2 linked regions of the Lonchura striata genome follow. The protein of the gene in region 2 interacts with the protein of the main gene of each other region in a biochemical or structural test. Links are inferred from orthologs where the notes say so. Each region holds a gene or a part of one and is shown on either strand. Other genes may lie near its edges.

What was found.
Region 1: of the proteins of CLSPN (region 2) and CSNK1G1, one has a biochemical effect on the other in vitro, tested with the Homo sapiens proteins (2 studies listed by BioGRID). The link is inferred for Lonchura striata from reciprocal best matches to the Homo sapiens genes CLSPN and CSNK1G1.

The regions. Positions count from the first base shown.
Region 1 is NC_134613.1:7,427,532-7,439,752, forward strand, and holds the start of CSNK1G1 (casein kinase I), read right to left. Parts: upstream 6,164-12,221; 5' UTR 6,088-6,163; intron 1-6,087.
Region 2 is NC_134628.1:3,984,427-3,996,908, forward strand, and holds the start of CLSPN (claspin), read right to left. Parts: upstream 5,050-12,482; 5' UTR 4,980-5,049; coding exon 4,941-4,979; intron 4,174-4,940; coding exon 4,044-4,173; intron 3,491-4,043; coding exon 3,030-3,490; intron 2,729-3,029; coding exon 2,564-2,728; intron 1,994-2,563; coding exon 1,904-1,993; intron 1,662-1,903; coding exon 1,589-1,661; intron 1,331-1,588; coding exon 1,222-1,330; intron 695-1,221; coding exon 147-694; intron 1-146. Other genes in the region: protein argonaute-4, read left to right, coding at 11,009-11,027.

The sequences.
Region 1 (12,221 bases), on a different chromosome or scaffold from region 2:
GACTGCAAAAAAACCTTCACATCTTTGTAAACAGCCACAATATTCCCAACCTAAAGGAATGTCATAATATAACTGTAAGAAGAAGGAAAAAAAATGAGCAGGAGAGCAGAGGCAGACAGGAAAACAATTTTCCCATCTCCCTAGTGAATATCCCCAATTCCTGCATTAAATGCTCAGAGTAGCAAATCCAAGCTATTCAATTGTCTTCCACCACACAGAAATTGTCAGGCTGATCTTGAGGGTGGAATCACTGTCAACTTTTCAGGCTGTTAAGCTGTTCTCCTGAAGAGATTTGCTCGAAGATGAGCAAAGCAAACCAGAAGATTCAGACAGGTAAGAGACACCTATCCATTGCAGAAGATGGCCTGCTCCAAATGGATCTGACAAGAAGGAAGAACCTACAAAAAGCCAGGAGAAAATGGTAATTTCACCCCTATTGAGTTTCATTGTTGCTTTTGCCAATTTATAGGAAAAAGGGAATTATTTAAAAGGTAGGAAGAGTCTGATGAACCAGAAATTAAATGGGCCATTTAACAAGGAATTCAAATATCTCCTCCCTCAAGTGAAAAACAAAGGTTGGGGGCTGGGGGGTGTTAATGTGGAACAGAGATGAAGTAGGTACAAAAATTCTGAGATTTTACCGCTTCATATAATCCCAGAATGGGTTGGGTTGGAAGGACCTTAAAGCCTATCCTATTCCATCCCCTTGTCATGGGCAGGGACACCTTCCACTAGCCCAGGTTGCTCCAAGTCCCATCCAGCCTGGCCTTTGGGCACTTCCACAGGTGTGGCAGTCACAGTTTCTCTGGGCAACCTGTGCCAGGGCCTCACCACCCTCACAGGGAGGAATTTCTTTCCAGGAACACAAATAACCCCATCCTCTGGGAGTGGGAAGCCATTCCCCCTTGTCCTGGCACTCCAGGCAAGGGTACAGCCAGCAAAAGAGGAGGGAAATGTCCAGAGGCAAAATTCAGGCTGAGAATAGGAAGGCAATGAGCAAGAGTTGCGTGACAGCATCCCAAAGAATGGCTCCCACACTTGGGCTTGGATTCATTAGGATCTGAGAAGGTTTTGGGACAACTGGAAGCCTGTAAAAGAACAAGGACTGAATGTATCAAAACAGCACCATGACAGTGGCCCCTGCAATCAAAATTAAAGGTTTCTCTCACACTGCAGAAGAGGAAAGCCAGCAGATCCAGAGAAGAGTATATTTGAGGAGGATGCATCTTTGGGGGGAAAGAAGGTGATTCATAAGAGCCTCATCTCCTCAAGAACTCCTACAGATGGGACAAGAATTAGCCATGTGAAAATCCCCTGCTAGAAAAGAATCAACACAGTGCAAGTCAGATGGAAAGACAAAAACAAGGGTCAGGAGTGTTTCTGCACAAATGCTGTAAGTCTAAAAGTATGATGGAAAAACTCAAATGTCTGGTTTGCAAGTGGACATAGCAAGTTCATTTAAAACACAGTGGAGAGTAGAGGAGCCACTAGACATTAAAAAAACACACAGTGTTAACCAAGCTCCATGTCCCACATGTCACCAGAGCAAATGCCAGGTCAGTGTGTGTGACACCAGGACCAAGTTCTTCAATAGCAAAAAGTGATTCCTTCCCAGCAGTGGATGAGAGAAGCAGCAACTCATAGAACCATGGAATGTTTGGATGAGAAGGGACCTTAAAGCTCATCATGTTCCATCTCCTGCCATGAGCAGGGACACCTTCCACAATCCCAAAGTGCCCCAAATCCTGTTCAGCCTGGCCTTGGACACTTGGACACTCCACTTGGGACAGACACAGCTTCTCTGGGCCACCTATGCCAGGGCCTCACCTTCCTCACAAAGAAGAATTTCATCTTAACATCTAATCTAAACTAATTCCTGACTTCACCTTGGATAGCAGTAGGAATATTGGTGTGAGCCCTACAGTGTGATCTGACCAAGCAATCAAAGCCAACCCATCTCTAGAGCAAGGCTAAATGTCCAAGAAGGAAACAAAATCTAAATTTACAAGCTTTTAGTAAGGGAAAAAAGGTTAGAAGCCACATGATCTATTATTGTGTTAATAAATCATCAGTCAACATCTCCCAAAAATTAAAATTGTGTTTATACACACTCTTGAGTATGTTGAGCTTGGCTTTTGGTAGCAAAATATGATGAGGTGACAGTAACAGCCTCACTATAACCCAAAGTCACACAGGAGGAGATGGGGAAGTGCCCTTGGTTAAAGCTGGTACTAGAAAGTCTCTTGGCCCAGCTTTCACAGAACAATTCAGCAGAGTCTGGACAACCCAGCTCAGGCAGCCATGCTAGGCAAACCAGAGCTGGCCTAAAGACCAGCCTAAATTGCTGCAGGGCTAATTATATTGTACAAAATGAAGCTGTGTCTCAGAAGTCAGGGGCTGTTGTCTTTTTTACCCTTCTCCTTCTTCCTTTTGCAGTGGACGGAGCACATCAACAAGGGAAAATCAGCTGATACACTCCATTGAAAAAAGCAAGAATACTACAAGGCAGAATCCACCAAAGATCTCTGGAGATAAAAACTACAGGATAAAAGGAAAAATCCTTCATGTACAGAAATAACTGGTAAAGAAGGGAGAAGAACATATCACTGGTCCATTCTGCAGCAAGGACTCACCAAAGGATTCTGCTTTACACAGAGCTGTGTTTCTAAGATGACAACATTTGCTACTCTGAATAATTCAGGATGAGAAGTAAATAAGAGCAATGACTCCAAGGAATTGCAGTAAAATCTCGTGATATGAGTGGGTGATACAATTCACAGAGCAGCACATCAGGAACAACCACCCTAACGTCAACTTCAAGAAACATGACAGACTGAACTCATGCCAACCCTAGGAAGCAGGACTACAGCAGAATATTCCACCAAAAAACATGGCTCCATGGGTTTTAAGATCACTAATGAACAAGCACAACATTTGTAATTACAGAGACAATAATATAGGATAACATACCTCTAAAAAGGTATCTGCACCATAAATATAACCCAGCACCTCTGTCAATGTCCTCCATTGTCCTGTGCCCCACTCCTCCTGCCTTACCTGTCTCAAGGAGGAAGCAGAGCTGAAGCAGAGCTGGTAATGACATGAAATACAAGGAGAGCTACAGAAAGTCTAAATATATGAGGACAATTCAGCCAAGAGACTATCAGGAATGGAAAAAGTATTTTCCTAAAATCATTAATATCATGAAGAGAAGTGTAAAGGTTCCTAAATTCAACACCTGGCTCAGGGAGGTCATGAACTGCTGGAGAGAGAAAAATAAAACATTATTTCCCTGGATTAGATCTGCTGTGTTTGTGTTCTCCCCTCCCCAAGCATCTGCTCCTGGTTACCAGTGAGCAGGATACCAGGCCAGATGGATTCCTGGTCTCATCTGGTAGCACTTTTTAAGGCATTACACAGGATTTCATCTGTTAACCTGAAAATACACAGTGGCTGATTGCTTCCTAAGAGCTGGAAAAGGGAGCAGTGTCAGGGCAGGGAAAGCTGCAAGTGGCTGTGGACTAGGATGGACTTAGGAACTTGCCCAGCTCACAGCTCCCCTCAGAGTGGAGTTCTGAACCTGCCTGAATAGTTTCCATTGGTGACTCCAGCACAGCAAACCAAGTTGTTGCCCACACAGAGAACTGGAACAGCATGAAAACTCCTATAGAAGAGCAAGATAGATGGGCTGGAATGAGGCAAGGTTACACACTTCAAACTTCACAAGAAACACTACTATGAACTAGGAAGCTCTTTAATCCAGGGAAAAGAGAGACAGGATATTAGCTTGTTGCCATGTCCCATGAGCCACCAACCTGCCTCAGACATGAAGGATATCAGCACAAAGGACTTCTCCGTGACACGGCACAGCATCCCAGAGAGCCCTCCCCTGCCATTCCCTGCTCTGCTCCCCTCAGGGATTAGCTTTGAGCAAACATGTGCAGGGAAGAGAGCAACAGAGAACAGAGAAAAGAGTGACTGTGGTTCGAAAATAGAGAGCCAACAGCTGGGCCAAGCTTTTCGAAAGCACCAATGGAGAGAAGAGCTGATTTATAGGAAGCAGCTCTGGCATAAACACCAGCAGGTATGTCCCAGTTAAATGTATTGTGAGAATCTGGTGTGAGTTTCCAGCCCTCATGTCCAGAAAACAGAACTTACACGAAGTACAGCAAGGAGCCCAAACTTGTGAGGGCTTTTGGCCAGCCGTTGAAAACACACAGTTATAGATTTGCAGAGGAAAGCAGAGAGATGAGACTCCTCTTCCCCACCACACAACAGCTCCTAAAGAATACAAATTGTGGCAGCCCAGTCCAGAAAAAGTTATTTCAGGGCAGGAACTGTTTAAAGAAACACTTGTATCTGAAAAAAGCTTAGGTGCTTACGAAGGGTGTGAGCATAAAGCCCTGATTTTATCAGGCCAATAGTCTAAAATTGCACTGGAGTCAGCAAGATTTTTGCCAAAAAGCTGGAATATCAGCGGTGCCGGGGAGCCGCTACACCAGCAACCAGAACTTCAACATGGAAACTGAGATTTCCCTGGCACCTCTCACCTCCATCCTCCACTCTTCCTAAGTACATCTGCATGTTTTTTACTAATAATGATTTCTTTTATTACACACCATGATATTTAAATTCTTTCTTATCTGGTCACACCTTGCCAGCGGTCACCTTCCCTGAACAAGAACTCCTGCTGATATTTATCATTGGCAGCACCTCCAGCTCATCCCTGACTCCAAGAGCTCCAGTGTGAACCCAGATTATTGTGCAAATAACCGGTGTGTGCATCTCTCTACGACAGCAATGTCACGAAACCCAAACTCTCTCATCAGTAACACTTCACCATCCAGGTGGCACTTCTAAAACTTGAGCAACTGGCAAGCATTGAGGAATTTTGCAGCCTGAATCTCTGCAAACTCATAATTCCAAGGCACTCTTTGTGTTTTTTGGAATGTGTCTGTGGGAAAATGCTGCTAATATTTGATAAGGGCTTCTCAACAGGAACAAAGCTCGTGATTCCCAGTTTACCCATCAACCTCTCCCAACAGAGTTACCAACACAACACTGAACCAGGGATGTAGGGATGGTTTATCTGGGTAGATCACAGCCAGCAGCTGGGGAGCTGAGAGAATGAAAAAGCAGATCCTGAAGAACCTGGGGAGTGGCTGCACAAGCTGACAGGCATTAGGTCACTAGTAAAAAAAAACCAGTCAAGTCTGAGGTCACACCCGTGACAGTGGGACTTCAGGCAGGTCATAGAAACCAGAAATGAGTGAGGTAGAAAATGTCACATGAAGTCAGGCACAGGAGGCAGCCCAACAGAGCTTGGACTCTGCTCAGAAGACTTCCCAGGAACAGAGAAGTCACTGTCAAGAAAGGCTAAAGGGGACTGCTGGTAGCCGTGAGACATTTGGAAGGGAAGATGTAACTAACCCTCCTGAGGCAGCTGAGCTGCCCCATCCCTGGAAGTGTCCAAGGCCAGCTTAGACGTGGTTTGGAGCAGTATGGTCTAGTGAAAGTGCCCCTGCCCACGGCAAGGGGTGGAATGAGATGACCTTTAAGATTTTCCCAACCCAAGCCATCCCGATTCCGTGATTTGGATAAGACAACAAACCCCAGCCCTTAGAGCTTCACAGTGTGCCAAACAGCATACAGAAATTCTTCCCAGACGTAGAGGGGATAAATAACTTCTTCACACAAATAAGTTGCTGATACACCTCCAGTTACACAGAGCACTTCGCTCCCTCAGACCGGGAACACCACCGGGTCCAGCAGTTCCCCAGGCACCCCCAGCTCCTTCCCCGGCAGGTCCCTGCCCGGCACCGCCGGGACAGTCCCTCAGCTCGGGCTGCTCCGACCCGAACCCCCCCGTTCCGCCCCGCGGGCAGCACCAGCCCAGCGCCCCGGACCCACACCGGGGGCAGCTGCGACCCCCGGGGTCCCTCGGGCCGCCCCACGGCGGCTCCTCCGCCGGCCGGCCGGAGCCGCAGCCGCCGCACCGGGAGCGCCGAGCCCGGCGGAGCCTCCGCCGCGGGCGGGCCGCGGGAGCCGCCCCCCGCCCGGGCCCCGCGCCGCGCCCCGCGCCCCCACCTGCTCCGCCGGCGCTGCGCTCCGCGGGCGGGCCGGGCCGGGCTGGGCCGGGCCGGAGCCGCCGCTGCTCTCCCCGCGCCCGCCGCAGCTCCTCCCTCACGGCACTCGACGGCCACAGCCCGACCCGGCAGCGCTCGGCGCCGGCACCGCCCCGCGCGGCTCCGCCCTATGGCCGCGCCGCGCCCGCGCCGCTTCCGGGGCACCGCGGGCCTGGAAACCGCGTGGCGTTGCCAGGGGGAGCGGCGGCCGCGGGGCTCCGCTCCCGGCCGGGCTCGGCGGCAGCCGCGCTCGGCACCCGCCGCGTTCGGCGTCAGCCGGGGCTCAGCATGCTCCGGGGCTCAGCTTGGCAATCCACTGGGACTCAGCGCCCTCCGGGACTCAGCACCCAGTGGGGCTCAGCATCCTCCGGGGCTCAGCTTGGCAGTCCACTGGGACTCAGCACCCTCCAGGGCTCAGCACCCTCCGGGGCTCAGCTTGGCAGTCCACTGGGACTCACCGTCCTCCGGGGCTCAGCACCCAGTGGGGCTCGGCATCAATCAGGCTCCACAGAAATCTGGGCTCAGCACCCAGTGGAGCTCAGCATCCTCCGGGGCTCAGCTTGGCAGTCCACTGGGACTCAGCGCCCTCCAGGGCTCAGCACCCTCCGGGGCTCAGCTTGGCAATCCACTGGGGACTCACCGTCCTCCGGGGCTCAGCACCCAGTGGGGCTCGGCATCAATCAGGCTCCACAGAAATCTGGGCTCAGCACCCAGTGTGGCTCTTCATCCTCTGGGGCTCAGTTTGGCAATCCACTGGGACTCACCCTCTTCCGGGGCTCAGCACCCAGTGGGGCTCAGCATCCTCCGGGGCTCAGCTTGGCAATCCACTGGGACTCAGCGCCCTCCAGGGCTCAGCACCCTCCGGGGCTCAGCATCAATCAGGCTCCACACAAATCTGGGCTCAGCACCCAGTGTGGCTCTGCATCCTCTGGGGCTCAGCTTGGCAATCCACTGGGACTCAGCGCCCTCCAGGGCTCAGCACCCACCGGAGCTCAGCATCAATCAGGCTCCACACAAATCTGGGCTCAGCACCCAGTGTGGCTCTGCATCCTCTGGGGCTCAGCTTGGTAATCCACTGGGACTCACCCTCCTCTGGGGCTCAGCACCCACTGGAGCTCAGCACCCAGTGGGGCTCTTCATCCTCTGGGACTCAGCCTGGCAATCCACTGGGACTCAGCACCCTCCGGGGCTCAGCATCCATCAGGCTCCACACAAATCTGGGCTCAGCACCCAGTGTGGCTCTGCATCCTCTGGGGCTCAGCTCAGCACCCCCTGGGGCTCGGCATCCGCCAGGGTGGTCCCTTCCAACCTGAACCATTCCTTGAGTCTGTGGAAGAGAAGCAGAAACCCACTGGGGTTGTCACCTGGATGCTCCCAGGCTCATTCTGGTGAAGAACTTGGCGTTTTCCAGATGGATGTTTTAAACTGGCATATTCATAGAATCACGGAATCACGGACTGCTTTGGGTTGGAAGGGACCTTAAAGACCACCTTGTTCCCTCCCTGGGGACCTTAAAGACCATCTCGTTCCCTCCCTGCTGTAGGCAGTGACACCTTCCACCCAACCAGGTTACTAATTCCTTGAAAATGGTTGAAAACATCATGAGGAAAAACTTCCTCCCCGGTGTGCAGGCCTCCAGCCTGGGGACAATTCCATTATCCAGCCACACACATAACAGCTTGCCAGCATATGGGCCCTACCAAGGATAAACCAAAGGTTTATTTGGAAAATGTGTTTAGATCCATAATTTAGGCATTACAATTATTTATTTCTCCTACTACCTTGTAATCCTGAGGCCGAGCTTGGAATTTTTTCCCTGATGCTGTTGTTAGCCGGAAAAAAAAAGCCCAGATCTAATCAAAATGGACATTTCACTTTAGGTTTTTGCTTTCTCTGTTCAGAACTATATGCACTCGCCTGACTCAGTACAGGTTTAATAAAGGCTTAATATTTCTTATTAAACATTTTAAATTGTCAATATCAAAAGTAGAGTGTCTCAATCCAGCCACCTGAAAAGCCTGTCCTGGCAGCATCTTGTCAAACCCTAGCCTGAGTCTCTACTCCACAATGAGTTTATTTTGCTTATTCTTTGTGCTATTATCTGTGGAAAATAATAATAATGTGTATATCACAGTATTGACAATATCTTTGATCAAAGGGAGAGGTATTTTTGCAATTCAGCTCCCATTTTTTCTACTCTGAACCATCTGGGCACTCCCAAAGAGCATCTTAATTCTGAAAAATGATTTATCATCAATTTTAGTCTGAGTTGTTTTTCTGCTAAGTCCTATTAAATGTGTGGATTCTCATTAGCCCTGTGATAATCCCTTGGGAGTTTATCTGAACCAGCCTGCGTGTTGAATGAAGGGGGTGGGGGTGGGTCAAAGCTGACCCAAAAACGTTTGGGGTGAGTGAGAACAGCAAAGGAGGTTCCTTGCCTCCTCATCCCCAGCCCAAACAGGTGAGATTCCAGCCTGATTCCCAAGCACCTTCTTATGAACAGAAAGGAAACATCCTGCTTCTCTTGCTGCATCTCTGGCTGGGATGAAGTGGCTCGTGGAGCTGGTGGGCAGGACAATTCCCCTTTGTCCAGAGCAGCGAGAAGGACAAAGAAGCTCCTGTTGAAGATCAGGCACAGGGAGGCACCACCCCAACATGCCAGCGTGGGCAGGGGGGACCCTACAGACAGACTTCATATCCTTCTGAGTAATGTCCAAAGGGGAAAAAAGCAAAGTCAAAGGAAAGACAAAGCTTAAAAGTGCATGTTTTGGCAGAGGTGAGAATATAGGAGGTACCAAGGGCTCACCCATCTCTCTTCCAATAGAAACAGCCCTGTAACCACTCAATCCAGAGCAGGAATATACACAAACAGGTTTGGAATTTACCAAAATTAGTAGTGCTCTAAAAGGAGTCGAGTGTTATCTCCCTTAACATTAGCAGGCAACACCTGAACTCTAAAGCAGGGAGGCTGCCCTCCAAAGACTGGGAAGTCAACAATCACAGCTCTAAATGGGACATGGTCTGGTGACAGAAAAAGCCTTGAAAATCAGAATAAACGATGAAACCCCCTCATCTGGGGATGAGATCCCTGAGATCTGGCAGTGGATTTCCCATGGCAGGGTAAGAGGTCAGCAGCCTGACAGCTGATGGCCCTGCTCCCCTCCCCTCTGTCTCTGTCCCCACGGCCCAGACATCTGCTGTCCCCGCCGAGCAGCTGCCCCCCTGTGCAGCCCTGGCTGCAGGACAGCAGCAGCAGATCCTTCCTTCCAGCTAAATCCAACAGAAATGTGCTGTCTGTCCTGTTCCGGACTTGAGGGGAGAAGGGGTCTGCCAGGAAAAGCTCAAAAGTGCTCTGGAGCAGCAGCAATTTGTAATTATCCCTATGAAGAAAAGGAAAAGCCTTAGGCTATGGGGATGAGATAGGATGGCATCTGTTTCATCACTGTCTCTTGCCCAAAGATCATTTTACCCTGTAAGATTTAAAATTCAATATATTAGGCCCTCAGGAATTCTTATTTCCTAAACACTTCCATCTCCTCTCCTAAACACTTTGTTTACTCACTTTGCAGCTGTTTTTGGAGCATCCAGCAGCTCCTGCTGAACCACATGCCCAGTTGTGCCAGCAGTGACCCCTGAGCTCTTATTTGTGATGTGGGTACATCCAACATCCCCTGGGGAAAAGTGTGGGTGCCCCAGGCTGGGTCAAAAGGAGCTCTTGGACCTTCAGGCTCAGCTGAGAACAGTTTATTGCTCATTAGTGCTCTCAGGGCTGGGATGTTCTCAAGGTCAGGGGTCAGATAAATAATTTGGACTACTGGAAGAAAATTGCATGTGTTGGGATGGAAATAAAATCTGCTGGGGGGAGTGGGTTGCCCTCAGTGCCCATCCCTGACCCTCCAGCACTGCTGGGTTTGAGGAAGCCATGGGGATTCAGCTGCCGACATGGGATTTTGTTGAAGCCATTTCCTTACCTGGCAAGATAACACAGACTCAGGAAATGAGCAATTCCAGTCTCTCGTCCATGCATTTCTATATTCTCTTCACGTTTCCTAAATAAACTGGTCCCAGGCAGAAGGCGCCGTGTCTGGTCCTGACACAGCCCAGCGTTTGTAGCTGAAGCTGCTGCTGACATCTATGGTCAGCCTGGGGTACTGGTGTTCAAAAGTGGAGTCCCGGGCTGGATCGGGTTGGAAAAATCTTTCAATTCCTCTCAATCCTGAGCTTTAGCACTATCTCTCTTTCTGAATTTTTCCCCTCATTTTCAGAAGAGCTGGGAGCTGTTCCTGTTTCCCTATAGACTCAAAGATTAGCAGCAGGGGCACAGCTGGAGCTAAACCAGCTCCAGCTCCAGGGAGGGTGGGCTGAAGGTCACCCTCCCGTATTCCCTTTGGAGCAGGAAAGAAGCCAAGTAAACATCTTCTCCTGCATTTTGTTCTTATTAAAAACCCAGCTTTAAGACTGCAGGTCCTGTTGTAAATATTTGGATTTTATCTGTGCAGATGGAACACATTTATTTGTTTATTAGAGGCAAAAGCAGTTTAGTTGCTCCTTAGTACCAAGTTTTGCTCTTTCCTGAGGTTCCCAGCAGGGTGGGTGCATACCACAGAGGCACGTATTTGGTCCCAAGCTCCTCACATCCCTCCACAGCCTCGTGTGTTCCAGCCCCATCAGATTTTATCTGCTTAATGATGTGTAAGAGCAATCCAGCACAGGAAGGACATGGAGCTGTTGGAGTGAGTCCAGAGGAGGCACCAAAATGGTCAGAGAACAGAGCAGCTCTGCTGGGAGGAAAGGCTGGGAGAATTGGGATTGTTCAGGCTGGAGAAGAGAGGCTTCAGGGTGACCTAACTGTGGCCTTGCAGTGCCTGAAAGAGGCAGCAAGAAACATGGAGAGAGACTATTTTTACAAGGGTCTGGAGTGCAAGGGGGAATGGTTTCCCACTGCCAGAGGGGAGGGTTAGATGGGATATTGGGAAAGAATTTTTTTTCTCTGTGAGGGTGTGGAGGCCCCTGGCACAGATTTCCCAGAGAAAATGCTCCATCCCTGGAAGTGTTCAAGGCCAGGACAGGGCTTGGAGCAACCTGGGCTGGTGGAAGGTGTTCCTGCCCATGACAGGGGCTGAGCTTTGAGGTCCCTTCCAACCCAAACCATTCTTGGATCTGTGATTCAGGTCTCTATGAGAATTGTTCCTTACTGAGCAGCTCCTCATCCTTCCCCCTTCCCACCCGGCAGCTGCACAGCCCTGATGGAGCAGCTGATCATGGATCACAGCTGAGGGCATGCAGGAGATGAGCAGATCTGATCAGAGCCCCGAGGTGTTTCCTGTCTCCCAGGCATTTTTAGAGGAGAAATGGAACTCAGGATACGCTGGTTTGGCAGGTCAAAGGGACAGGAAAGAGCTGCCACTAATGCCAATGTGGGACCTGTCACTGTGATGATGTTTTGTGGGGTATTAGGGCAAAGAAGTCTGTGGCTTGTTCAGATTTTCCCCCTTAATTTACATAATCTTTTAAAAATTTCTGTTAAGGAATGATCAATTGCTACTTCTCATTCAAACTTGAATTGCTTTTCTGTAACAACTCTCCTTTTTATCAATAGACTTTTTAGGAAGAGGTTTTTACAGCATTCACTGCTTTCCCCACCAGGCTGACCTACAAGAGCTGCCACTAAACTCTCCTGATGTGCTAAATTTAAATTTCAAGCTCCTCCTAAATTCCCCTTTTCATCTGCTCAGCAATATTCCATTATTTCAGGGAGCTTCTGAGTGAGCACAAGCAGAACCCCTGCCATTAAGACCTGTCACAAGGCCCCACTTGCTTTTTTCCTATGAATTACCCCAAAAGTTATGTGGCAAAGTTGTAACAACCACCATAACAAGTTTTATTTAGTTTTAGCCATTTATTGCTCCCCCAGCTTTCGGAGTTCTGATTCTTTAGAACAACTAGCTTGTTTTAGGTAAACTTCACCTCTAATCAGAGCAAGTTTCAGCTGCTCACCCACCTCTCTGGTGTCTTTCCAAATCCAGTTTCCCATCTTTGGGCAAAGAAATCTTCATTAACAGCTTTTACTACAATTAAGACACAACACAGGTGTGT
Region 2 (12,482 bases):
GGCAACTCTAAATTAACATAAAGTTAACATATCTCAAAGAATCCACACTAGTAAGTGAATGTGACTGACTGTTCTACCACCTAAATATTTCTGAATTTTCCAGTCAAGCTCAGATCAACACTGCTTAGGAATACAACTTGTAATACCTTTATTTGAATCAGCTTCATCAAGGTTTATGAAGGATTCATTGTCAGAGCAGATTCTTGGCTGGATGGACAGGTCTATTCCCAGTTCACGAAGTTTATCCAGCTTGGATTTCCTCACTTTTTCAGGCTGTGCCACCAGCCCAGGCCCCACTTGTTGGCTCTTTCTTTCACCTTGTGCATCTGGGGCTGTTTCCCCTCTTTCCATGAGGGCATCTCCAGATACTGGAGGAACTTCACTCTCCTTTTGCTCATCACAGTCAGTGCTCAGGCAGTTGGAGAGCTGCTGTTCCTCTGTGTTATCATCAGTTACAGTCCCTGTAACTGCATGAGAATCCTCCCTGTCCTCCCTGGGCTGCTCACCACAGTCCTCTGGCAAGTTCTTCCCTTCAGCAGCAGGAGGCTCAGCCACAGAAGCATCAACATCTCTGCCCAGGTTCATTTCTGGTTCAGTAGCTGCTGACTGATCACCTTCCACTGGCCCATCTTTGCAGTCCTTGCTCCCGATGGCTGCAGATTGTTGATTTAGGGACAGCTGGTATTTAGAGGACCTAAAAAAGGCAGAAAGAAACATACCACCCATGGTTAGTGTGAAAGGGAGATAAGCCTGAGGAGCCATTTCCTAATTATTGTCATTAGTGTGTAAGCAGAAATGAAAGACAGAAATCTGGAAACCTTCATTGTGAGAACTCAAGGAAATGTAAAGGTTTTGTACTGGTTACAGTATCAGAGTATGAAATTCCTGAGGGATTTTGTGATTACTGTAGCTTCAGTATCTTACTACACATTACTCAGAGAGGCAACAGTCCAAGTAAAATATTGGGGTTCAGCCTAAATCCCATTAAAGTAACTCTGCATCAGTAAGTTCCTTCATATGAGTTTCTCCTGACCCTCATCCCCAAAGTCATCCTGACTTTGTCAGGAGAGCAGCATTGCCTGATGTTAGAAATTATATTCTCCTAATTTCCTACTTTTGCAGATTTAAAGGAGCCTAAGAAAGTCTGGTTATCCTCCAAAGAAAAGCTAGAGATGTGTAAAGTTTATGAAAAAATCGGATGAGGAAGGTTTAAGTCCTTACTTCAGCAGGGCCATGGCATTTCCTTGACATGCTGGTCGAGGTCTGCTCTTGAAGAAGTCATGAACAGTTTTGGCCTCAGGCACATGATATGGGAGAGACACAGATGATTCTGCCAGAGAAAGATGGTGAGAGAAGATTTAAAACATCATCTGAGTGCCCTTTATTTGCCAACCAGTATCTTTATTTTCACTAGTTAAAAAAATACCTTTAACAGGTCCTTCAATAAAAATGGTCTTGCACCCTTAAAACCTCAGTAAGTCATATTAGGTCAAAGAAGGCTCTAACCTCCTGGGTAAATTCTTTCATTTTCTTCTCTGCATTTCTGAACGGTTTATACACCTTTCCATAGTAAGAATTTAAGTTTTACCTCTAATAAGTCGTTGGGTCTCACTGTGTAGTTGTTTAATGGCTTCTTTACTTAAGCGTGCTGCTTTCCGCTCCTTAAGGGGAGAAAAGAAAGGCTTCTGAAGTCAGGGAACAAAACATGGGGCTCTATTTCTACTTCTTAAATAGCTTATTTTTCCCTTTCAAGTAGCAAGGAGTTGGAATAAAGCAAGGAGTCAAAATAAATCCACTAAAAAAAAAAACAAAAACCAAAAAAACCAAAAAAGCCATACTGTGCACACAAAACCATTTTAGTCACGACAAACAATACAGAGTTTTAAAAAGATGAAGACTTCACCTTCCTTTTTGGCTCCTTTAATACAGGCTCCTCATTCTCCTCATCAAATACATGTTTGTAGCCTTCACTGTCAGGAAAATGTTCTTTGTTCTATGGGGCATAAGAAGAAATCCAAAGATTTATATCAATACACTGGCACTATCAAGGGCAAACACATCACAAATAACTGTACAGAACTAACACTGGTCAGCAAAGCCAGCAAGGTTCTCATAAACCAGCACAAACCCCACACAAGGGCAGATTCCAAAGCTCCTGCTACAGCATTATCTTTTTAACTTGCCAGAACAACATCCCTCCATCTTTAAAAACAAAAACCAGAAGGCTCTCCTCTCTTCTGCCACAGCAGTACAACTCCTCCATCATCAGAGTTTTAGAACCTGCTCAGCTACAAATTCCTGATAAATCCAGTAACCATGGAATGATTTGTGTTGCAAAAGACCTTAAAGATCATCCCTTTCCACCTCTGCCATGGGGACATTTTCCACTGTCCCAGAGTGCTCCAAGCCCTGTCCAACCTGGCCTTGGACAATTCCAGGGATTCAGGGGCCTCCCCACCCTCACAGGGAAAAATTCCTTCCCAATATCTCATCTAAACCTATTCTCTATCAGTTTGAAAAAGAGAACATTTACAATAATTTTTGTGTCACAGCCAACTGTTACCTTGTATTGTTTTATTTTCTTTTTCACAGCTGCTCGAATGGATTCTAGAGACTCTTCATCCTCAAGGGGCTGATCACTCTCCTCTTCCAAGCCATTATCAAAGAGGTCCTTGTCATCCAGCAGACATCCACTGTCATTGAAGGGAGGCCTCTCACCACCATCCACCTGCTTCCAGAAGAATAAATTATTCCTGTGATTCCCTTCAGAAGGTCCCTTTGGTTCTTTGACATTAATTTAAAATTACATTAAATCATCAAGTGTTAGGTTTTGTACTTCCTTAAACTGCAAATTAAATTGAAATGAACCTGCAGACTTTGCAGGTTAAACTTGTATGGTGTTCTGTGGATCTCAAACCTGCTGCAGGAATGTGGACACAACACTGAAGCTTTGCAACAGAATAACCACAAACAACAATAAATTTAACTTAGTTGAGAAGTTATCTGAAGGTTTGTACTAAAACACCCACCTCTGCCACAGGCTTCTTTTCTTTCTTCAGCTGTTTAATGGACTCCATTATTTTCTCCTTCTCCTTTCTCCTTCTGGGTTTTGCTACAGCTTCTTTTGCTGGCTCCTCTTCAATGCTGTGTTTGTGTTTATGCTTCCTGTACTTTTTCCCAGATTTTAGGGGTCTCTCCTTTTCCAGCTCACCCTCAGGCAAGCCAGATGTCCTGCCTGTTTCAAGGTTTTCAATCTGCAAAGGGTCACCAGTGTCACTGTCATCAGTGTCCAGCAGAGCTGGGCGAACCCGATGGGATTTATTCTTTTCAGTAGCAATATTTTCCTTTTCCTCCCCATTTTCCTTGTCTCCACCCACAGCATCTTCCTGCACAGGTGAGCCTCCATCCTCCTCCTCCTCTTCGCTCTCACTGTCCTGAAGCACCTTCTGGTTTTTTGCTTTTTTACGCACAAAAATTTCTTCTTCTGAATCTGGAGAAACACATGAAAATAAAAAAGGAAAGTGCAACAAGTTAATTAACAAATAACCAAATTTACATCCGTTAAATTTGACATATGTCACCATCCACAGCAAATGAGCTTCTCATGGAAGTGTGAAAAATCTTTCATGCTTCAAACTCAACTTTCCAAAATCCACTTCTCCCCAGAGAACAGCATTTAATTAACCCAAATTGATGTTAAAAGTTTCTAACCTTAAAAAAAAAAAAAAAAGCAAAGCAAAAAAAAAAAAAAGAAAAGCTGAAAACTCTTCACTGGTAGTGTCTTGCCTTGAAATAGTAATAAAAAATCACACTACATAGATTAAACAAGACAAGGAAAAAAGTGAATCAGTAATTAAGGCACATCCCATTCAATATTTTTCTTTCTGTAGCACTCTTCAGAGGTTTAAAGATGCCTACCCACATTCTGAGCAACAACAAGAATTTGGATTCCTACAGGTCAAGCAGTGACAATCTCCTAAAAGGTATTTACTAAACAAAAACTGTAGAGTTGGAGAAAAACAATTCATGGAACTGTTACGGACCTCTGTCCTCGAAGGAGGCTGTGCTCTTGCCAAGGGGGCCTGGGGAGGTTGTCTCACAGCTGCCCTGGCCACTGTCAGAGTCGCTGTCCAGGGGTTTCTGCAAGTCTGGGTTCAGATCTGCCAGTGGAAGCTACAAAGCAAAATACCATTTTTTAAATTAAAAATTTCTTAATGAGGTAACGTAATGTTTATGTAGTCCTGACTGCTGCCATCCAAATTCATTCCAAAACCTCACACACAAGGAAATCCATATGCACTCTCCGTATAGTCTGATTATGCTATTTACATATTTAGTAATACTTATTGTTATTATTGATATTTACCATATTTATCAATACAAGTGACTATTTACATGTGGGGTAGCATATTTACATATAAGGTAGTATACGTGGGAGTTTACACAGCAAAAGCACAGAACTGACATTGGCTGATGTGATGGCATTCACACGGGAGACTTTCACTCGTTATTTTATTATTTATTTATTTTTATTCAGACCCCTCACGGCGGGCCCCGCAGCCCTCCCGGCATGCACCGCGCCCCTGGAGACCGGCTGAGCGCGGCCTTCCCAGCGTGCCCCGCGGCCGGCAGGGCGGGCACGGGGCATGCCGGGAGCTGTAGTCTGCCAGGAAGGGCGAGCCCAGTGACGGCGCGGGATCGCCCGCGATCACGGGTGGCGGGCAGAGGTGGCTGGGACTACTGACTCCGCCACCGGCAGTGCTACCCGAAAGAGCACCGTACCGAAACGGTTACTGGAATCGCCACTTCCCTCGCTGTCCCTCCCGGGCCTTCCACCTCGCCACAGCCCGATGAGGCGCAAGGCCTCAGGCAGTCGCGAGCTGCCTCCGCCGTCAGCAGCCGGCCGGCCATGCCGAACGTAGGGGAGCGGCAGGACTCACCTCAGCGGAACCCTCCGTTGTTACCGGTACCGCCGCCATGGCCCGCCCGCGCTCCCGCCGCCCGGGGACCGCTTCGAGCCTTCGCGCGCTGCCCTGGCCCCGCCCCCGACCGGGATCGTCCAATGGCTGCCCAGAACAGCGCCGTGAGCCCCGCCCCCGACCGCCTTGCTGGGCGGGGTTCCTTGAAGCCACGCCCCAGCCGCATGGACCAATCGCGGCTCCCGCTCTCGGGCCGCCCGCCAGCACCATTGCGCCGCCTGGCGGGGGGGGCGCTCCCCGCGCCCGGGCTGGGGCGGGACCGTGAGGGGATGTGAGGGAATGTGAGGGGATGTGAAGGGATGTGAGGGAATGTGAGGGGATGTGAAGGGATGTGAGGGAATGTGAGGGGACATGAGGGGATATGAGGGGATGTGAGGGACCGTGAGGGGATGTGAGGAAATGTGAGGGGGACATGAGGGAATGTGAGAGACCGTGAGGGGATGTGAGGAAATGTGAGGGGACGTGAGGGAATGTGAGGGAATGTGAGGGAATGTGAGGCACCGTGAGGGGATGTGAGGGGACATGAGGGAATGTGAGAGACCGTGAGGGGATGTGAGGAAATGTGAGGGGACGTGAGGGGATGTGAGGGGACATGAGGGGATATGAGGGGATGTGAGAGACCGTGAGGGTGTGAAAAATGCGTATTACATGGCTCTACGCAGATAGTTACTATATGTATTATGTTATATTGATTAGTTGTGCTTTTGTAGTTAAAATGAAGACTTTAGTAGTTAAAAAATAAAGACTCTGTATAAGGGGGGAGGTTGGTTTTTTTTTTCTTTTTTTTAGGAATGAGATACACACTTCGAGGAACACCTAAATCTTCCAAAGGAGAGAAATTTATGGCTTCTTATCAGAAGAAACTAATTTCTTCAGGCCTTGCTCTGACTCGGAGATACCATGGGGATTAAAAGAAACAGCTGACATACAACAGAGTTTTTTGTTTAGAATAGAATGTATGCATAACCATGAATGATGTATGAATATGCAACAAGTGTATTGGTTTAAGGGTGATTCCTTTGTTCACAAGGGATGCTTGTCATGACTGAGTGTCTGAGAGCATCCAGACCTCTGTTAATTCTTTGCTTTTTATTGTCTTGTGATTGTCCTAACTCTAAACTTTATTACTCTAATTGTATTGCTATTTTTATAAGCATTTTATTATTATTAAACTTTTAATATTTTTTAAACCAAGTGATTGGCATTTTTCACAAGGGGACATGAGGGGATGTGAGGGGTTGAGGGGGAGCGAGAGGGACCTGAGGAGAAGTGAGGGGCTGGGAAGGGCAGTGAAGGACCTGGGGATTTACAGCTCTGTCAATTATCGACATTGCAGGGACAGGGCTCTGCTGCCAAAACATTTCACGTTGTTTCATGGCTTAAACAGAGCCTATGTTTCGTTTTGATCTTTGGAATATGTACATGTCCTGTCTCCAGGTGACCATGTGGGTGAGAACACACGAGTCAAGCTTATCGTTATTAGATACACACAGCTATTACTGTCCTATTTACAGAATAAAATACATGCATTTTCCATTGGCTGCTGTACAGACATACTCTGAGCCAACCCTACTCTTGTTAGGTGAATGAAGGCTCAAACCTTTTGGGTAAATTCTTTCAATTTATTTCAATTTCTACCTTGAATTTCTGAATATTCCCTCTACATTCAAAAGATTTAAGATTAACCTCTCATAACTCATCATTATATAGTTGTTTAATGATTTCTTTACTTAACCTTGCTGCTTAATGCTCCTTAAGGGAAGACAAAAAAGACTTCTGACTCCAGAAAAATTTACTGAAAACATATAAGTCAATGAAGAACTGCTCAACAGATGCAAATCACTTTATATATTTCACAGAATATTTGAAGTTGGAAGGGACCCACAAGGATCATCAAGTCCAAGAGCAAGGTGAATGGCCCATACAGGGATATTCTAGTACAGAATCAATCCAAGTAGGAAAATATTCTACTTTATCCATTTTTGCTACGTTTAGTTCTGTAGTTCTTTTACAAGTAGCTGGAGGGAGAGCCTTGAGCTGGGGTGAGGTCAGGGACCCTGTTCTGATCCCCAACTGGGGGTATTTGGCATTTTTTTCATAATTACAATTACTTTGTAGAACATACTGCTACAGTAATGCATTTCCTTCCATGTCACCCAGTGGAAATCTGCTATCACTGAAGGCGAAGAAAAAATAAAAAGTGTTTTGGGGTGTTTGGTCAGTTTTTTATTTGGGTATTTTATTGATATGGTTTTACCAGGGACAAGGAGCAGATAGAATGATCTACCATGTCAGTTCACATGGAGCCAACAAGCCTGAGAACAAAGGAAGTGAGAAAAGCAAATGTCCATGGAACCCACCACAAACACCACAGTTCTGCTTTCTGCTAGCTGCTGCAAGGAGCTACAGTGATTAGTTTAATAATTAGTGTTAATAACAGAGGGACAGATGCTGGCTCTGCACAAACACACCTCCTCATGGCTGTGCCGGGATGGAAGTCAGAGTCAGGTGACAAGAAAAAGGTGACAAAAAGATTGGCCTCATTAGCTAATTTCTGCTCCTGGGTTGTTACTCATACCTGGCACGCAGAGGCAGCCATGGAACAGGTAAAATGTTTGCCATTAAGGAGGTTCTACATGGCACACAGACTTTCAGCACTGGATCAAGCCCCATATTGAGATATTTGTGTTATGAAAGCTAGTTTAGAAATCTGTTTTTTTACTAAACAACATACTCCTTCCCCAGCTTGTAGCAGATGAGGTGTTTAGAAGGAAATCCACAGAGATAATCCTGTCATAACTCTGATATGTCATTCCTAAATCCAGTCTTGACCCTGCAAATGTGGCTATTTTCAATATAAGGCTGGGTTAAATTACAGAAATAGGGTTCTGACTGCTGTGGCAGTAGGGATGTCTTACTATGTGTGTAATATTTATCAAGTTAATTGGATTTATAAAGCAGTGAGTAAAGGCTTTAGTTATCACACTCAACATCTTACAGGACTGAGCCTTTGTGTTGCAGATTTCTTGAGACAGAGATTGTATCTTTGGTGTTTCTTTTTTTAAAGTACTATTTGTGTTTCCATACATATGTGTTTTTTCTACATAGATATGCTGAATAATAGCATGGAAATGTTGTCAGATGCTGTGGAGTTTGTTACCGGTCTGGTAAAACTGGTTTTTTCCTCAGGTGTTCATCAACTGCTGTCAGGGAATTATGAGAGAATCTCAGATCTACATGAGAATCTCAGATTTCATTTAATTTTAAAATAGTTTTTGATGTTTCAACTTGGAAAATATCAGCCCCACAGGTTAAAAAAAGCAAATAAAGTGGACTCAGCATTTATTATTTATAAAATGTTTTGACTTCTGATTTTCTGTTGAGTCAGCAGAGAGCTGTTGGTTAAACAGAACCCAGGAGGTGCACAAGGGAGCAGCTTGCTAAAATAGCGTAAACTGCTTAAAAAGGCTAAAAGTCCCTAGGCTCTTTATTTAATGGCACATGGCTGGAAGTGTTGTCTCTTTAACAGAGGACAAATTTATTGTCTGTGAGGATAAAAGGACATGGCCATGGCAAGGTTCTCCCCGGGAGCTGAACGCCCTGGTCAGTGGAACACCACGGGTTCCCACCCCTGACGCTTCCCAGGCATCTCCTGGGTGATGACCAAGATTGTGCCATGGATCTCCAGCCCTCATGGATCCTGAGCTATTCTGTGGCCACAGAGCGCCTCAGGGGCTGGTGGTCACAACCCTGAGAGGTTCAGTGCTGTGGCTCACCTGTCTTGTACAAATCCTGTTTTGTCAGGTGTCTTAAACCCCACTGAGGCTGTTTAGCTGGTACTGGGAGTTATTCGGGGTGTCATCAATTGAGCAGGGAGAATTCCCTGGTTTTGGGGAGCAGTGGAGGACTGGTGAAGCTGGAGCAGCATCACTGTGGGCAGGCAGGGTAGCTGTCACAGAGTGTGCTGGAGTTCTGGGTTAATTATCAAACCTGCAAACAGGTGTTGGGTTTTGGGACAGAACAGGGGAGGTACAGACAGACAATCCCCTCCTTCCTGGTGCCTGAGGGGCAGCAGCTCTCACCTCTACTGAGGTGGCTCTGGAAGAGCCTCATGCATGAAATGCACCCTGGGAAGAGCCAGCAGGTCAGGGAGGGAATCCTGACACCCAGCCCTAGTGAGGGACATCTGGAGTGCTGTGTCCAGTTCTGGGCTCCTCAGGACAAGAAAGACAAGGAGATACTGGAGGGGGTCCAGCAGAGGCCACAAAGATGATGGGAGGTCTGGAGATCTCTCTGTTGAGGAGAGACTTTGGGAGCTGGGCCTGGTTATTCTGGAGAAGGGATGGTTGAGAGGGGATCCCATCAATCCACAGCAACATCTGAAAGGCAGGTGCCAAGAGAATGGTGCCAGACTTCACCAAATCACAAAATTGTTGGGGTTGGAGTGGGACCTCTGCAGATCATCCAGTGCAATGCCCCTACCAAGGCAGGGTCACCCAGAGCAGGTGACACATGAATGTGTCCAGGTGAGTTTGGAACCTCTCCAGACAAGGAGACTCCATAATCTCCCCAGGTATCCTGTTCCAGTGCTTGGCCACCCTCATAGAAAGTTCATCTTGATGCTGAGGAAGTATTTTAGTTTATGGCCATTGCTCCTCACCCTGTTGCTGGGCACCACTGGAAAGGATCTTTTCACTGGTGCCCATCACAGTGTTTCACCCTAACATGAGGAAGAACTTCTTTATGTTGAGGGTGGCTGAGCACGGGAACAGGTGTCCAGGGCAGGCATGGAGTCTCCCTATCCGGAGACATTCCAAATGGACGTGTCCCTGTCACCTGCTCTGCTGACCCTGCCTTGGCAGGGGGTTGGGAGTGGCCGATCTGCAGAGGTGCCTTTGAACCCGAAATATTTGGGGTTCCGTGGTTCAGAGCTGTCAGTGGCCGATCTCTAGAGCTGCCTTTGAACCCGCAATACTTGGGGTTCCGTGGTTCAGAGCTGTCAGTGGCCGATCTCTAGAGCTGCCTTCGAACCCGCAATATTTGGGGTTCCGTGGTTCAGAGCTGTCAGTGGCCGATCTGCAGAGGTGCCTTTGAACCCGCAATATTTGGGGTTCCGTGGTTCAGAGCTGTCAGTGGCCGATCTGCAGAGCTGCCTTTGAACCCGCAATATTTGGGGTTCTGTGATTCAGAGCTGTCAGTGGCCGATCTCTAGAGGTGCCTTCGAACCCGCAATATTTGGGGTTCCGTGATTCAGAGCTGTCAGTGTCCAATCTCTAGAGCTGCCTTCGAACCCGCAATATTTGGGGTTCCGTGGTTCAGAGCTGTCAGTGGCCGATCTCTAGAGCTGCCTTCGAACCCGCAATATTTGGGGTTCCGTGGTTCAGAGCTGTCAGTGGCCAATCTCTAGAGCTGCCTTCGAACCCACAATATTTGGGGTTCCGTGGTTCAGAGCTGTCAGTGGCCGATCTCTAGAGCTGCCTTCGAACCCGCAATATTTGGGGTTCCGTGGTTCAGAGCTGTCACCTGTTGCGGCTGCGGGGTCGCGCGGGCGGCGTGCGCGCTCCCGCGGGGGGGGCGGCGCGCGTGCGCGAGCCGGCGGCGCCGGGCAGCGCGGAGCGGCCTCTTCCTCCCTCCCTTCTCCTCCTCCTTTTCCTCCTCTTCCTCCTCTTCCTCCTCCTCCTCCTCCTCCTCCTCCTCATCCCCGGCCCGGGAGCGCGCTCGGGCGCGTGCTGGCGGCGGCGGGGGCGCGCGCGGGCTCGGCGGGGGCGCAGCGCGGGGATTGTTCGCGCCGCCGCTCGGGGAAGCGGAACGCGGGGAGCGCTCCCCGCCGCGCCCCCGCTGCCTCCTCCTCATCCTCCTCCTCGGCCGCCGCCGCCTCCCGCCCCGCCGCCCCCGTGTCCGCGCCGGACCCCCACCCCGCCGCCAATATTCCCGAGATCAAGCGCTACGCGGCGGCGGCGGGGCCGGCGGCGGGGCCCGGGGCGGGCGGCGGGGCCGGCGGCGAGAGCAGCGAGGCCGCCACCGCCGCCATGGAGGCGCTGGGACCCGGTGAGAGGCGCGGGGGGGCGCGGGGGCCGCGGCCTGCCGGGCCGTGACGGCGGGGGAAGGAGGCCGCGGGCCCGGCGGGGCTCCCCGGCTCCGGCGGGGCTCCCCGGCAGCGGCGGGGCCCGCTCCCAGCCCGCCCGGCGCGGAGGAGCCGCAGCGGGGCGCGAAACTTTGCGCGGTGGGTGCGGGGGCCCTCACGGCCTCACTGCTGCCGGGGACACCGGGGATGCGCCTCGCCCTCGGCGGGGAGAACGGGACGGGCTGGGAGCGGGACAGCCACAGCGAGGGGACGGGGCCGGGCAGGGCTGTAGTGTCACAGCGATGCGCGCCCTGCAACCTGTGCAGTGACAAGTTTTGTATTTGACATTGAGCTATTTCGGAGAGTTTAAGGTGATGCTGTCTGAAAATCCAGCTGTTTATTTCTTTAACAAACTTCGCTTAAATATTGGTGGGTTTTTGCATGTGGTGCTTTCCTGCTTGTGTCCTATTCCATGATTATTCTCCCGTCAAATGCCTGCAGGATGTATTTCTAGCCCTCAGTGGCCTGTACACCTGACCCATCACGTTCCCATTGGTATAAGCGAAGTGATACTAATTTTGGTGTGATAGAAAACGTTTATTGACACAAAGGTGCAATTCCAGAAGAATCCAGAGTTTGAGGTAGTGAGGGCTGACTCAGAGCCTGCTGTATGTGTGTGATGTATCGTGGCCTCCCTGAGTTCCAGCTGGAGAAGCAGATTCTCTTTCAGTTTTGAAAACTGCTTCCTGTCTGAAGCAATTCAGTTGAGGTGCTTAGTACATAATGGTTGTAGGGTGAGAGAAATTAAAATATAACAGCACATACAACACTAGTCAGGCTGATAAGATAAAAATCCTGTGACACCAGGGCAGCCTGGCTTCAAATGGGAAAACAATTTGTAGCTGATTCTCTAGAATCCTTTAAGAAATAACTTTAGGAAGGAGGAGATGTAAGTTTTATTTCCTTTGATCAGAACAGAGGGCAGCATTGCTGTGCTTGTCTGAACAACATGTCAATAGCAAGGGAGGAAAATGGGTAAATATAGTTGTCATTTAATCTCTTGCAGGAGGTCAGTGCCTGCACTTCCTTCAGACTAATTAGCATGGGATTAATGGATCATCTCTCGTATCCAAATAAGCACAGCAAACTTTGATTGCCCTCAATGATTCATGCTTGTCAAGACAGCTGTAGTTTTTTTAAACAATAAACTGTAACTTTTTTAAACACTAACTGTACCCTACAACTGGTCTGACCGTGACGGAGCGTGATCCGTCAGGTGGGTGTGGAGCCAGGCATGTGTCCTGTGGGATATCTGTCCCCAGTAACCCCCTGCCACTGCAACTTGGCAGAGCTGACACTGCAGTGGGCTTCAGCTGCTCTGTGTTCCATCTGCTTAAAAATATTCCAGGGCTGGAGTCCTTAGGTTGGTAATTTTTTTC